2 linked regions of the Daphnia pulex genome follow. The protein of the gene in region 2 interacts with the protein of the main gene of each other region in a pairwise test. Links are inferred from orthologs where the notes say so. Each region holds a gene or a part of one and is shown on either strand. Other genes may lie near its edges.

Evidence for each region.
Region 1: the proteins of G-protein-signaling modulator 2-like (region 2) and guanine nucleotide-binding protein G(i) subunit alpha interact in a two-hybrid assay, tested with the Drosophila melanogaster proteins (2 studies listed by BioGRID). The link is inferred for Daphnia pulex from reciprocal best matches to the Drosophila melanogaster genes pins and Galphai.

What each region holds. Positions count from the first base shown.
Region 1 is NC_060020.1:3,521,986-3,528,238, forward strand, and holds guanine nucleotide-binding protein G(i) subunit alpha, read right to left. Parts: upstream 3,441-6,253; 5' UTR 3,318-3,440; exon of another isoform or gene 2,994-3,317; intron 2,894-2,993; 5' UTR 2,871-2,893; coding exon 2,750-2,870; intron 2,680-2,749; coding exon 2,492-2,679; intron 2,431-2,491; coding exon 2,359-2,430; intron 2,297-2,358; coding exon 2,082-2,296; intron 2,012-2,081; coding exon 1,917-2,011; intron 1,852-1,916; coding exon 1,663-1,851; intron 1,593-1,662; coding exon 1,402-1,592; 3' UTR 99-1,401; downstream 1-98. UniProt on the Drosophila melanogaster protein: Guanine nucleotide-binding proteins (G proteins) are involved as modulators or transducers in various transmembrane signaling systems.
Region 2 is NC_060018.1:4,010,984-4,017,273, reverse strand, and holds the start of G-protein-signaling modulator 2-like, read right to left. Parts: upstream 4,257-6,290; 5' UTR 4,145-4,256; exon of another isoform or gene 4,063-4,144; 5' UTR 3,808-4,062; coding exon 3,731-3,807; intron 3,603-3,730; coding exon 3,447-3,602; intron 3,365-3,446; coding exon 3,229-3,364; intron 3,157-3,228; coding exon 3,014-3,156; intron 2,924-3,013; coding exon 2,800-2,923; intron 2,610-2,799; coding exon 2,494-2,609; intron 2,363-2,493; coding exon 2,196-2,362; intron 2,060-2,195; coding exon 1,962-2,059; intron 1,872-1,961; coding exon 1,668-1,871; intron 1,426-1,667; coding exon 1,303-1,425; intron 1,117-1,302; coding exon 963-1,116; coding exon of another isoform or gene 828-962; coding exon 616-827; intron 514-615; coding exon 322-513; 3' UTR 1-321. Other genes in the region: ubiquinone biosynthesis protein COQ4 homolog, mitochondrial-like, read left to right, coding at 4,553-4,649, 4,725-4,859, 4,925-5,021, 5,084-5,186, 5,264-5,393, 5,482-5,575, 5,983-6,139.

The DNA of each region.
Region 1 (6,253 bases), on a different chromosome or scaffold from region 2:
TAAATAAGTAATGGAATTTCATTCGATGCCTTATTGAAAAGCTATTCAATTTTCTCATGCGGAATAAGAAAAAAAAATGGTTTGCGAGAGGCTCGAGGCAGCTTGCATGCAAGTTGTATTGATACCATATACACAATATATCGGGGAAGACGATAGAAATCGTAAAAAAAAAGGAAGAGGCCGTCATAACTTCGTCGTCCCATTTTGCATACACTTAAAAAAATTGGAGAAAAAAAATCGTAATAAAAGGGGGAGGAGTCAAATATTTTTTTTGGGGGGGTGGATGAAAATACACACAGACACACAAAGGAAAAAAACAAAAGCCAAAAGAAATCGTTCGGAGTTAAAAAGAAAAGAGTAAGAAAGAAAAAAAACAGGGTTTGTTTTTTTGTATTTCGAATATATAAAGAATTATCAGGAACATCGTTCGAGCGATGCATCAGGGGCCAAATTGGAAGACATGCCAGGCTGGTTAAGTGAGAGGACGATCATTATCTAGACAAAAAAGCAATTTTCTAAAATAATTATCCACCGATCAATCAACGACCGAGTATCAAATATCTTGGATAGGAATAATAATAATGAAAAAAAAAAAAACGAGTCAAAAAGTAGTTGAGCATGTGAAGCGGAAATTGTTTGAAGGACTGTCGTTGGCAAAAATAGAGCTGGAAAGACCTGGACAGAATGAAAAAAAGAAAAAAAAAATGTTAAGGGCCCAGGCATGTGAAGGAATGTTAAGCCATAGATTAACAAGTAAAAAAAATAGATGGTCTGCATGGAAAAGCAGATAAAAGAGGAAGGATGGCGTGTCACGCAAAGAGTCTTTTGTTTTCTCTGATGGCGTTACGATCAAACAATTTAACGTTAAACGGGGGGGGGGGAGGAGGGAGGATGGCTGTGCGATGGGGAGGATTTTGGTTATTCAACGCGTCCGAACGGCAGGAGAATTTGTATGAAAAAAATGTAAGAGAATTCGAAATGTTTTGTGCTCTTTTTGTTTTAATATGGCAATCAAAGAGTGGTTGAGCTTCGTTTTTTGTTTTCTTTCTTTTTCTTCAAAAGGGATATTAGTGTCAATATCATTGCTCGAGCAAAACAAAAGAAATATCAACAGATTAAATTTCGAGTCGATCGAATAAAGGGAGGAAGCAATTATGTGCGTGATGGCCAGCGCAACGAGAGGGATGCTTACAGCGAATTTGTGTTGCGTTTCTTTCTTTCTTTTTCTTTCTTTTACGGGCCGACGATGAACGTACAGTTTACAAAATGATATTTTCAGACTAAGTTTGTGGTATCCAAGACAAAATCAATAATAAAGAGAGAGAAAAATAAGAGGGGAGAGTTTAAGATTAAGAGAGAGAGCTGGGATGGGATGGTGTGCACTGGCATCCCAGAATCGAATTAGAAAAGACCGCAGTCTTTCAAATTGTTCTTAATCACAACATCCGTGACCGCATCAAAGACAAATTGGATGTTGCTGGTGTCGGTGGCGCACGTAAAGTGCGTGTAAATCTCTTTCTGGTCACGACGCTTGTTTAGACTCTCAAACTTCATTTGAATGTAGGCCGCTCCCTCCTCGTAAGTGTTGGATCCTTGAACGCAAACGTCACACAAATTAGTTTCTGAAGAAAATTAAAAAGGACTTAAGTCAATTAAACTTACCTGGGTATTCGGGAAAGCAGATGGTGAGAGATGATTTGGTAATTTTCTCCTCAAAGAGATCCTTCTTGTTGAGGAACAGGATGATTGAGGTCTCCACAAACCACTTGTTGTTGCATATCGAGTCAAACAGCTTCATTGACTCGATCATGCGATTCATCTCTTCATCTTCGGCTAACACCAGATCGTAACCTGGAGCAAAGTATCAACAATAAAGCTCACAGAAAAGGGGAAATTAAGCCTGAATCTTTTCGTACCTGATAACGCCACGCAAAAGATGATGGCTGTCACTCCTTCAAAACAGTGAATCCACTTTTTACGTTCTGATCGCTGTCCGCCGACGTCAAACATCCTGTAGATTCAAATGAATTCGATGAGTTTCTATGATTTTCGAATGATGGAAAACAAGTGAATGATTGTACTTGAAACGAAGTCCTTTGAATGAAAAATGCGTTTCGATGATTCCTGTGGTTTTCACTCTTGTTCTCAGGACATCTTGCTGCGTAGGTACGTAGTTGGGTGCTGAGATACGGTCTAAGGCGTTGAGATAATAGGCAGCTGAATCGTTCAACTGGTATTCCCGGGAGCGAGAGAAACAATGCTGCACCCCTCCGTCCATCCACAATCGTTTCATTACCTAACGAACAGAATATTAAAGTTAGGATTTTTCAATTTACAAGGAAAGATGGATCGTCTTACCTGAGCCAAGTCATATGTAAGCATTCCTTCATCAGCAGCGCTTGCTAGTGTGAAAAATAGCCTGGCATCATCCTATTAGAAAAGCACCAGTTAACGCCTGAGGGCTGTATTCAAATTGAAGGTGATAACTCACCACGGCTCTACTGGAGTCTGCAAAGTTGATTCTGAGTTGGCCCATGGCACGAATGATGGCCATCAGACTTTGTATTGTGTTGCTGTATACTACAGGTCGATACTGTTCACATTCTTCTTTGGAATATCCAGTTTCATGGATGATTTTCATCTGTTTGACAATTGTACTTTTGCCTGATTCACCAGCACCTGTGAACAGAATCAGCATTATTAATGAATGCCACAAAAACTATGAGCGAGAAATCAATCAAGTACTCACCAAGCAACAGGAGTTTGACTTCTCGTGCAGCACGTTCCCCATCAGCCCTTAAATCTTTGTCAATCTTCTTGGATCGCTCAACCGCTTCTTTGTCGGTTGTTGAGCTAACCGCACAGCCCATGGTGAAAACTGTTTTGAGCGAACCTGCAAATACAAAATGTGGAAATTGTTAATCAAACCCAAGCCTAGCAAAATGATTTTTAAAATGCTGTATAAACCACAAAAAGGAATAACTGTCACTAACACTAATTGTTTGTAAAGGTGAACTAAAATGGAAACAAATCCAAAAGAAAACCAAAAATTGTCGGTTAAACTTTGAGAGGTGTCTGATTGTAACGGAGCTTGGTTAAAACTTTCAAACGGCCACCGAGTCGTGTCAACAGTTCAATCCAAGTCACGAACTCGAGTGAATCTAAAATCGATGGTAATTCGAAAAGTGAGACAAGAGCGATCGGAACAACGATTTGATATTCGATGTCTCTTTTGTCAAAAGGAAAAGATTTCAAGTTTCAAAACGCAAGTTTTGACATTTTTGATTCTTTTCCAACAGTAAAAAAACTCAACTTACGCTGCACTGCAGTCAAAGGCGGGGCAAAACTCGAACGTTGCCGTCCGTTGCCATATTTATTTGCCGCTTTTGGCAACGCAGCTTCAACACTCAAAACCCGCCTCTCCTCTTCTTATTTTATTTTTTTTGCTCGACCCCAAATCACAGCAGAGAGAGAGAGCATTACAGCATAGTAGACTGAATAGAGTCTCTTATTCACTATTATGACGCCACGGTCGTGTGAATAGACGGTTGCCCGATAACCGTTACGAATTCGCCACACTCTTGGGGTTCAGCGCGTCGTTTCCATTTTTGATTTTCCCCCACTGCTCCCACTGCTGATTGATTATTCCCTGATCTTGGCCGCTTCCCTGCTGCGTTGCTTTGACAAATGGTATTCGTCCAGAAAATAAATTTAGAAAAAAAAAAATGAAATCAACGTCTTGAGACTGTAAATTCGCTCCTGTTTATTTGGCATATAATTACAGGACATTAAAAACCGGTTTCCTACAACGGTTGGCCTGACACGGCCAGCCTCCATTGTGTCGGTGATGAGCTGTACTCACAACTGGGGGGGTATATATGAAAAAGGGACGAAAGGAGCTTCTACAGCACACAAATCGACCGGAAATACTTCATCACAGGCACACGGTCTTTTATGGGTATGCGCTTTTTTTTACCCGGTTCAGTGTTCTGCCTGTTTTTCGTTGGGTTTTGGTGTGTTCAATGAGGAAACCGGAACCCTCGTTTCGTTTGTATATCTCTTGGAACTTTACACGACGAGGCCGCGCCCTGATTTCTTTTTCTCCATTTCCTCAGCAGCATGAATATATTCATGTTTCTGGGTCTTTTTTCTTTTTTTTTTTAAAACAGATGCGCGCTCTTCGAGCTGTCTCTCTTGTAAACAAACAGACGCGCCGACAACTTGTGTGAGACGTGATTCATATCGAAGTGAGGCTGCTAGACCACCCGCTACGATTTAACATTTTGTTGCAAATGGTTAAAAGGAAAAAAGAAGAAAACGATTAAAGCCATCCCACCAGCATGTAGCATGCGATGATCCCGTCGCAGTTGCTTCTTTTGGTACTTGTTTAACACTATGATGACGTCAAAGGAATATAAGGAGAGAGAGGGCGCTTTTATATACTATAGCGGCTAGTGATAATCGGAAAAATATCCTTTTTTCGAAATCTGAGATCCGCGTCGTCGCGTTTCCCCCCTTGGGATATGTCAGTCGTTCGTATGTACATTCGAAATTGAGGAAATTCTCATCCAGCGGCAGCAGTATAGCGCCCGTTGCCATCAGCTGGTTGGTTTTTCCCATCCATTATTTCTTTTATGTGACTGGTGTGTGGGTGCAAAGTCTTTTAGGTTAGTCACCACCACACTTCCGCATATTGGTTTTTAACTTTTTAATGAAGCCCTTCGTCCTCTATTCCTTTTTAATCGTCATCAATTTTTAAGAAATTCTCCCAATATTAAAACAAAAACCTAATAATATTTAAAAAAAAGTAATGTTTAAAAAAAACTTGAAAATATTAATAAAAAGTCTAGATTAAAAAAGGAATGACACATTGAAATGTTCAAGACGGCTTGACAACCATCCGATAACGAATGCCACACATTTTTGTGGCAGTATATGTGAAGTGTATGCGAATCATTTCCAGCATAAACTGCCAATCTCGTCCAATATCGAATTTGGAACGCCAAACAATAAATTAGGTTACTATACTACTGCATAGCTATATGTTTTTTTTGTTATATTGTCTAGCTGGGCATATTTCTGGTTTCTTTCAATGCTGTCTTATATAGCATCGTAATAACACGTTCCGGTTATTTTGCAAAGGATCCTCTCTTTTTTTTATATTATATTTGTTTTCAAGAAAACGGGTGAAAATGTAGGACGCCAGAGAAAGAGATAGAAAAAGACTGCGACGAAAGGATAAAATTTGAAACGACCATTCGCGGATAAAAGTTATGGGAGCTTAAATTTTTTTTTTTCAAGTCCACTTAAATAAGAATTTATAGCTTCTATATATATATGCTGTGAATACATTTCTTTTCTTTCTTATTTTTTGAAATAGAAAACATTCCAGCTGTGGGTAACAATCCATTTGCTGATGCCGTTTGACCAAGCAAGAAAAAAGGGGAATTTGTATACAGGCAGTTGCGGAATGCATTGTGTACTATATTTGTATGCATCGCTATATCCAGCAGTTTTGTTCACGGAGCGTAAATATCGCGCCCATAAAAACTGATGGAAACACATAAAGGACGTAAGACTGTGCGTTCCAGCTAAATGTAATGTACGTTAACCAAACGGTCGAGAAAAAAAAATTCACGGAAGCCCGGCGTTTGAGAAGAATTATCAATTCCTACTCAAATTTCCAGGAAGTCTACAACAGGACGAATTTTTCATTCTTCAACATCAACCAATTATCAAATAGGGTCCGAGGGTCTTCCGTCAAAACAGAGCTGGATCCGATTTCAAATATAGTTTACTGACCTTGCTCAGAACTATTACATAACAGAGACTAATATTATGAGTAGGTTGAATAAAAATAGACCATGTTTTTATATAGTGTCGTGATTCACCTTTATGTTTGAGTAAAATTTTGCTGAATAAGAATATCAGGTCCCTTTATGAAACTGTATTGCCCAAACAGCGCAAGTATATAATAATGGCTACAACACACGACTCGTCCTCTCTATAATAAGCTTTTATTCAATGTTGGATTATGAAATCATTGAAGAAAAGCATTTCGTAATAGGCCTGCCTATAATAACAGTCGATACTACCTCCACCAAAAGATGTGACACAAAATTATTCCCAATTCGTACAGGTTAATTTTTAAAAAATTGCAGCAATATAAATGCTAGAATCGATCATGGCACGATTTCAATGTAACGATCTTCAAAGGCTTGCGATTCTTTTATTCAGTGGGGTCGTCTTATAT
Region 2 (6,290 bases):
GTGCAACCATGCGGGAACGGACAATCAACCCCCCCTTCCCCTTGTTTGTTCCCCAAAGGAGGAATGGTGAGATTTAATTTTCGCGATTTCTACTTCCAGGAGGAGGCAGAGAGCGAATGAAATGGATGTGAAGTTGGAAGAGTTTTTTTGGAAAAAAAAACTCGGTCAAAAGTAAAAGAAAAAGGGAATGGCTATTTTTTGAAACGAATAAAAATGGAGAGAGGGTATTGATAGAGACTGTCAACATACATTTCGATCATGGATGAGAGCTGATGGCGAGGAGGGGTAAAACATTCCGAGAGGTTAGGGATACCGTTCCGTCTAGGAGGAAGTGGCGGCAGCTCCGTTGGCAGCGATGAGAGGTGAAGGATCTTCGGCTCTTTGATCCTCGAGTCGACCCGATTGGAGTCGCATTATCAACGAGAAAAAGTCTTCGTCGGGCATGGTGGGCCCCCTGTGCCGCCGAGGCGATGTATCCGGCAAGGCGCTGCGCTGATCTTCCAGCCTCGTACCCTACACGATGAAAAAAATAAAAAGTAAAAAATCATTTTAAAAAGTCGTTCGTGAAAAAGAAACGAGTACAAATTCGGCCAAAAAGGTGGAAGAATATCTAACCTGACACCGCATCAACATTTCGAAGAAATTCTCATCGGGCAATGCGGCTGCATCCTCGCCGGCTGGCTCCACAGACAGCCGACGTAAAATGTCTGGATTGGCGTTGTTCAGGCCGGGTAGTCGCGGTAGTGAAGCTCTCTGCTCATCCATCCGGCGACTCTGCATGCCGGCGATCAGGTCCATTAAATCTTCCTTCAATCTCGACGGGCTCTCTATCGAAACAATATGCGAAAAAAGAGGAAAATAAAAACACACTCCCTCGTAGAAGCAGGCAAACGAAACAAAACTCGGGGCGACGCCAGGAGCGCGTATCCCCCCTCCCTGGTTTCCCTGGAAAAACAACTCACCGTGAATATTCGACGGGAGTGTACTTGCTTGTTGGTTCTCCTTGTTGTCTACGATTGCCAACGAGCAACGCTGATCGTCCATGCGTTTCGATTGGAATTGAGTGACCAAATTAAAAAAGGATTCCTCTTCATCCATGGCGTCGTCTCCGTTGGCCTATCGTATTGCAAAACGAAATGGATTCCGGTTAGCAACAGGGTAGTAACGGACAGAAATAGAGAGACAAAAACAACAAGCGAGACTATGAGATGTGACAGTTGTGATAGACTGGCAGCGAAAGAAGCAGACAGACGAACGAGCCATCCGATAGAGCCGGATCAAGAGAGGATTGTTGAAACTTACAAACGGGGGCAGCATATCACGTCTAACCAACGGGTGACCAGCGAGCGGTCTAGGCCACACAGGATCCATTTCATGCAGTTCCCGGCGTCCCTTGCTATGAAGTTGTTTCACATCCGGCGTCAGCTGGATTAATCACAGTGCAAGCAACCGAAATTGAAACGGACCAACGAAAACAATGATGACGGTAATAAAAATAATAATAAAATCGCCATGCTGCAGATTTTGCCAAGAGAAAAAATAGAAGTTTTGGAAGGTCTCCGGTAGATTTCCCACCTTCCCAAGTTTGAACGCGAGGGTGCGGTATGCGAGAAAATAGAAGCCAAGAATAATAACAAAGCGACAAAAGCGGACGAACACAAACAAACCTTGAGCAAATCCATGCGCTCCATGCTTAACCTGCGCCTTGCCTTGCTATCTGCTCCGTAGAGTCCGTCGTCGTCGGCCTCGGAAGCGTGACCTTTCGTTGAGTTTCCCATGCCGCCGCAACCACCGTCGCCGTCAACGCCCAATGTGCGTCTCAAGTCGGCCAAGTTCATCTGTGCTGTCGCCTCGCCGGTCGGATCGCCAATCTTAGAGATGGAGAAAAGAGGGTAACGGTCATTTTACGCCATAACCATTAGTCCATTAGTAGGTCGGTTGATTGGTTCGTGTTGGCTCACCTCGCGGGATATTTCAAGGTGCCGTTGTGCGTAGTGCAGGGCTTTCTCGTGATTTCCCATGGCAGCGTGTGCATTCCCCAAGCTCCAGCAAGCACGTCCTATTGGTGACGGTCACGAAACAAACCGGAACAATGTTAATGGCGATCACAGGGAAGAAAGATTTTCCAAATTTAAAAGAACAAACAAAAAACAACCCGAAAGAAAATGAGCACCGAGTTCTCAGCACCGACTAACCTTCTCCAACTTTATCCATTAGCTCTTCAGCAATACGCAAGTGCCGCAGATGGTAATCGATGGCTGTGGGATAATCGCGAAGCAGAGTATACGTATTTCCCAGGCTGTAACAGGCTTGCGCTTCGACGGCTCGATCTCCGAGATCCTGTGCAAGTAGGAGTGTTTTCCTGAGGGAGAGGGGGGTAAATTGAATTTGAATGGGATTTCTTTAAAGTTTAAAGACGCTCGACGATTCCGTCCTTTTCATACGCAAATTACGGAAACTTTCGATCAGTAAAAAGGAAGTCGCTGTATTTACTTGTAATGTTCTGCAGCCGTTTCGAACTCTCCGAGGAAGATGTGCGCATTTCCCAGGTTGCTGTGGGCTCTCCTTTCGGCTGCTTTGTCCCCAAATTCTCGAGCAATATTCAGTCGCTAGAAGCACAATTGAAAAAAGAAAGTGGGCGATGAAAGAAGATTTTTCGCTCACGTAAACCACGAATAATTTGTCCCGATTGTATCGATTTTAATCTCCCTAAGCCTTCCCTATTAAACCTTCGTTTTTTTTACAACCCATACACACGATATCATAAGATATACATTTTTTATAGCCAAAAACGCTCACCTCTTGATGATATTTTATGGCTTGCGTAAAGCTACCCAAGAGATAATGGGTATTGCCCAAGTTCCCGCATGCCCGACCTTGGGCAGCACGATCGGTTATTTCTCTCATGAGTTCAAGATTTTCTCTATTAAGACGAAAACCAAAAGATAATGTTAATCAGAACGGGTAAGTAAAATCCAATCTCAACTTCCTCTTGGAAAAAATAAAAACTCACTCGTAATAATTTACGGCTGTTAGCAGGCAGTTCCGCACGTCTTCGGGAAACTCGCCTGGATCTTGTTGACCCAGCCGGCCGAGATGTTTTCCTTTCGCATGAAAAACGTTCCCCAAGTTATACAACGCCCTTCCTTCTCCAACCTGGAAATGCGTGGGAGCCATGTTTACATTAGAGGCGACGAAAACGATATTAGGAGCTAAAAAAAACTGTACTTTATCGGTAAGCTCCCTGGAAATGTCGAGGTGTCTTTTGCAACAGAGAACAGCTTCATCGAATCTGCCCATTACTTTCAATGTGTTTCCAAGATTTCCACTGGCTTTGGCTTCACCTAGTCTGTCACCCATGGTTCTGTAAAATATGGCAGTTTAGAAAATAAAATTTAAATTTTTCCACAATTAGAACCAAACAAATATAGTGTGTGAACAATTACCTGGCTAGAGTAAGATCATGTTTGTGATACTGCATGGCTTTGGTGTATTCACCCAGGTAAAAATATGCATTTCCAAGTTGTGAGTAAATGGCGCTGAGGGTCCTCAAGTCATCGGTACCAGCTTGAATTGCTGCTTCGAAAAAGGCGACACCAGCTCTGTGAGAAAGCAAACACAAAGTTACTGACAAGTGTGTTTGATACTACGTATGAATCACAATAAGTTTTCCAACCGACAAGCTGATTTCCTCTAGGGCAAAACAACTTGGCACATGGAAAGTTTCTACCTGCAATCACCAGCTTTGCAAAGACGTTCTCCTTCTAACGCCAATTCAAGGCATGTGCTGTTATCCATGTCTGTCATTTTGTCAGGATGATTGTGTTTTGACTCAGCGAAGCTAAATGTTGACTAAGAAACACTAGTGTATAACTTTTCCCACTGTGTTGAGAAGTCGGTAAACCTAACGAATAACAAGACGAGCGTCTAGGAAAGCCTCGACTTCAGGAGACCAACTGAACGACTGAACTAAGGAACGTCCAGTTCAAATTCAAGAGACTCCCGACAGAGTATTGATTGTCGAGTTGCGCGCGGCTAGACTCACTGGTTGCGTTGCTTGCTCTTTTTCCACGAAGTAAAAATAAAAACATATGAATCAAATGCGTGTGACAGTAGGCTAGAATTCAAACCAGCATAGCATTACATCAGTCTTTAAAAAAACGTTGGCAAAACTTTTGAAAACTAAGACAGTACGTCTCGAATAAAACGAGACAATCGCAGAAACAAACCGCCCTTGTCTTTATTCCGCGCAACTTTTATTTCAATTCGACCAAACGACCGTTGGAGTGGATAGTTAGCATGTGGCGCCAAAAAACCAAGGCTAAAAGCCCCTGGCGGAAAAACAACTCACCACTAGATGGATCACGGACGAAAACGATTTTTGAAGCTATTTAGCAGACGAAGTCAAGTTGTTTCGTTAAAAGTGGTTTTACTTGTTTTCTTTTTTTTTTAAATTATTTCCGTGTTGTTATTCATGGATGATTACGTGAGAACCTACTTTCGGTGAAGGAAGAAATTGAACATTCACAGCTGCTGATTATTAAGGAACAAAATGTTTTTGAAGAGTTTGATTACTCGTCATAATCGAGTTGCTGTTCATGCTTTCATCGAGCGACAGTACACAACGACGACCCAAATTCCCTACATTTGTAAGTTAAAATTTGCCTTAACTCTCTTATGCACATAATTTAACTGGATGTTTGCCCTACATTGAATTTTCCAAGTGAAATGGATGAAGTCGGAAACAACAAAGAAAAGCGAACCTTTGTATGATGGGCACATTCCCATAAATTTGCTTCAAAGAGCTGTCCTTTCTGTGGGTTCTAGCATTGTGGCGCTGACAGATCCTGCAAGAGGAGGTGACGAGAGCTCAAAAAACTCAAAAGGCCTGAAAATAAGTTTCCTTTTGTTGATCCGAAATTAGACATGGTCGCTGTCAATGGTGAAAGTTCTGGCCACTCTGCTCTCAAAAAGATGCACAGAAAGATGCTGGAAAGTGAAGAAGGCCGACAAATTCTCATGTAAGCAATCTTTCCACAGTTAGTTATCAAGATTCTAATTTCTCATTATCATTGCCAACCAGGGGGAGGCCTAGAATAAACTCGAGCACAATAGACATTGAGAAGCTCAAATCTTACCCAGACGGAACTTTAGGAAGAGAATACACCAAGTTTCTCGAAGTCAATGTAAGTCACAAAGTTACAAAGCCGTCTCGCAATTCGTGAGCATAAATCTGACTAGATAAATGGGGCTGATTCAACAGAACGTCAGCCCGGATACGAGATTGCCTGTCCGCTTTGTTGACGACGCCGACTTGGCTTACGTGATGCAGCGCTACCGCGAAACCCACGACCTGGTCCACACTTTGCTGGGATGTCCCACCAACATGCTAGGTATAGTCGCATTCACGATTGACCGGCAAGTTTAGATTGCGCTGCCTTGGAAATGCTCCTGAAAAGCAAATTTCCTTTTTTTTAATAGGCGAAGTTGCAGTCAAGTGGGTTGAAGCCCTTCAGACGGAATTGCCCATGTGTATCGGTGGTGCTGTGTTTGGACCTATTCGCTTGAAACCAAAGTAAATAGACAATTCATTGCCTCCGTTTTTCCTTCACACTAGAACAACGAAAAAAGGACAACATTGGCAGCAAACGGTAGAACAAACAAAAGAGACTAACAAGTGGACAGATCGTTTCCAGCCAGTTAATTAAATCCAGCTGTGTGACAACAATAGGAAGCCCTTTTATAAATTTGAATTGAGTCAACTGATGTAATAAGAGCATCCTCTTTTTCGTTTTCCTTTTTTCGTTGGGTCTCCTCTCAATTTCTTTTCTCTGCGTCTCTCCCCCGTGTGCGGTTGTTGTCTCTCGTTCGGTCGAGTGTAGCACGCTGAGCCGCTTTTGTCTCCTCCCCAGGACTAATGAGCTTCTTCTTCTTTTTTGTTTTTCTTTGCCCGTCTTTTGTCAATTATTATGTTCGTGCAAGGAACCGGTCGACTTATCTGAGCAAGTACTTACCGTGGGCCATAGGCGTGGGCTCGAGGAGCAGCTTCTTAATGAACGTCTTCTACGAGCGACGCTGGGAACAAGATATCGCAGAATTGCGTGACGAATTGAAAATCGAAACTCCACCTGGGGTTTGATAGGTCCGCCGCCTTCCCATTGAGACCGACGTCTGCCGGATGCGGAGACACAACACTGAACCCCCCGCGAAGATGCGCCACCACCCTCACTCTCGCCAACAAATTTGGACCCTTTCAGTCTCTAATAATTGTTGTTTTCTTTTTCTTTCTT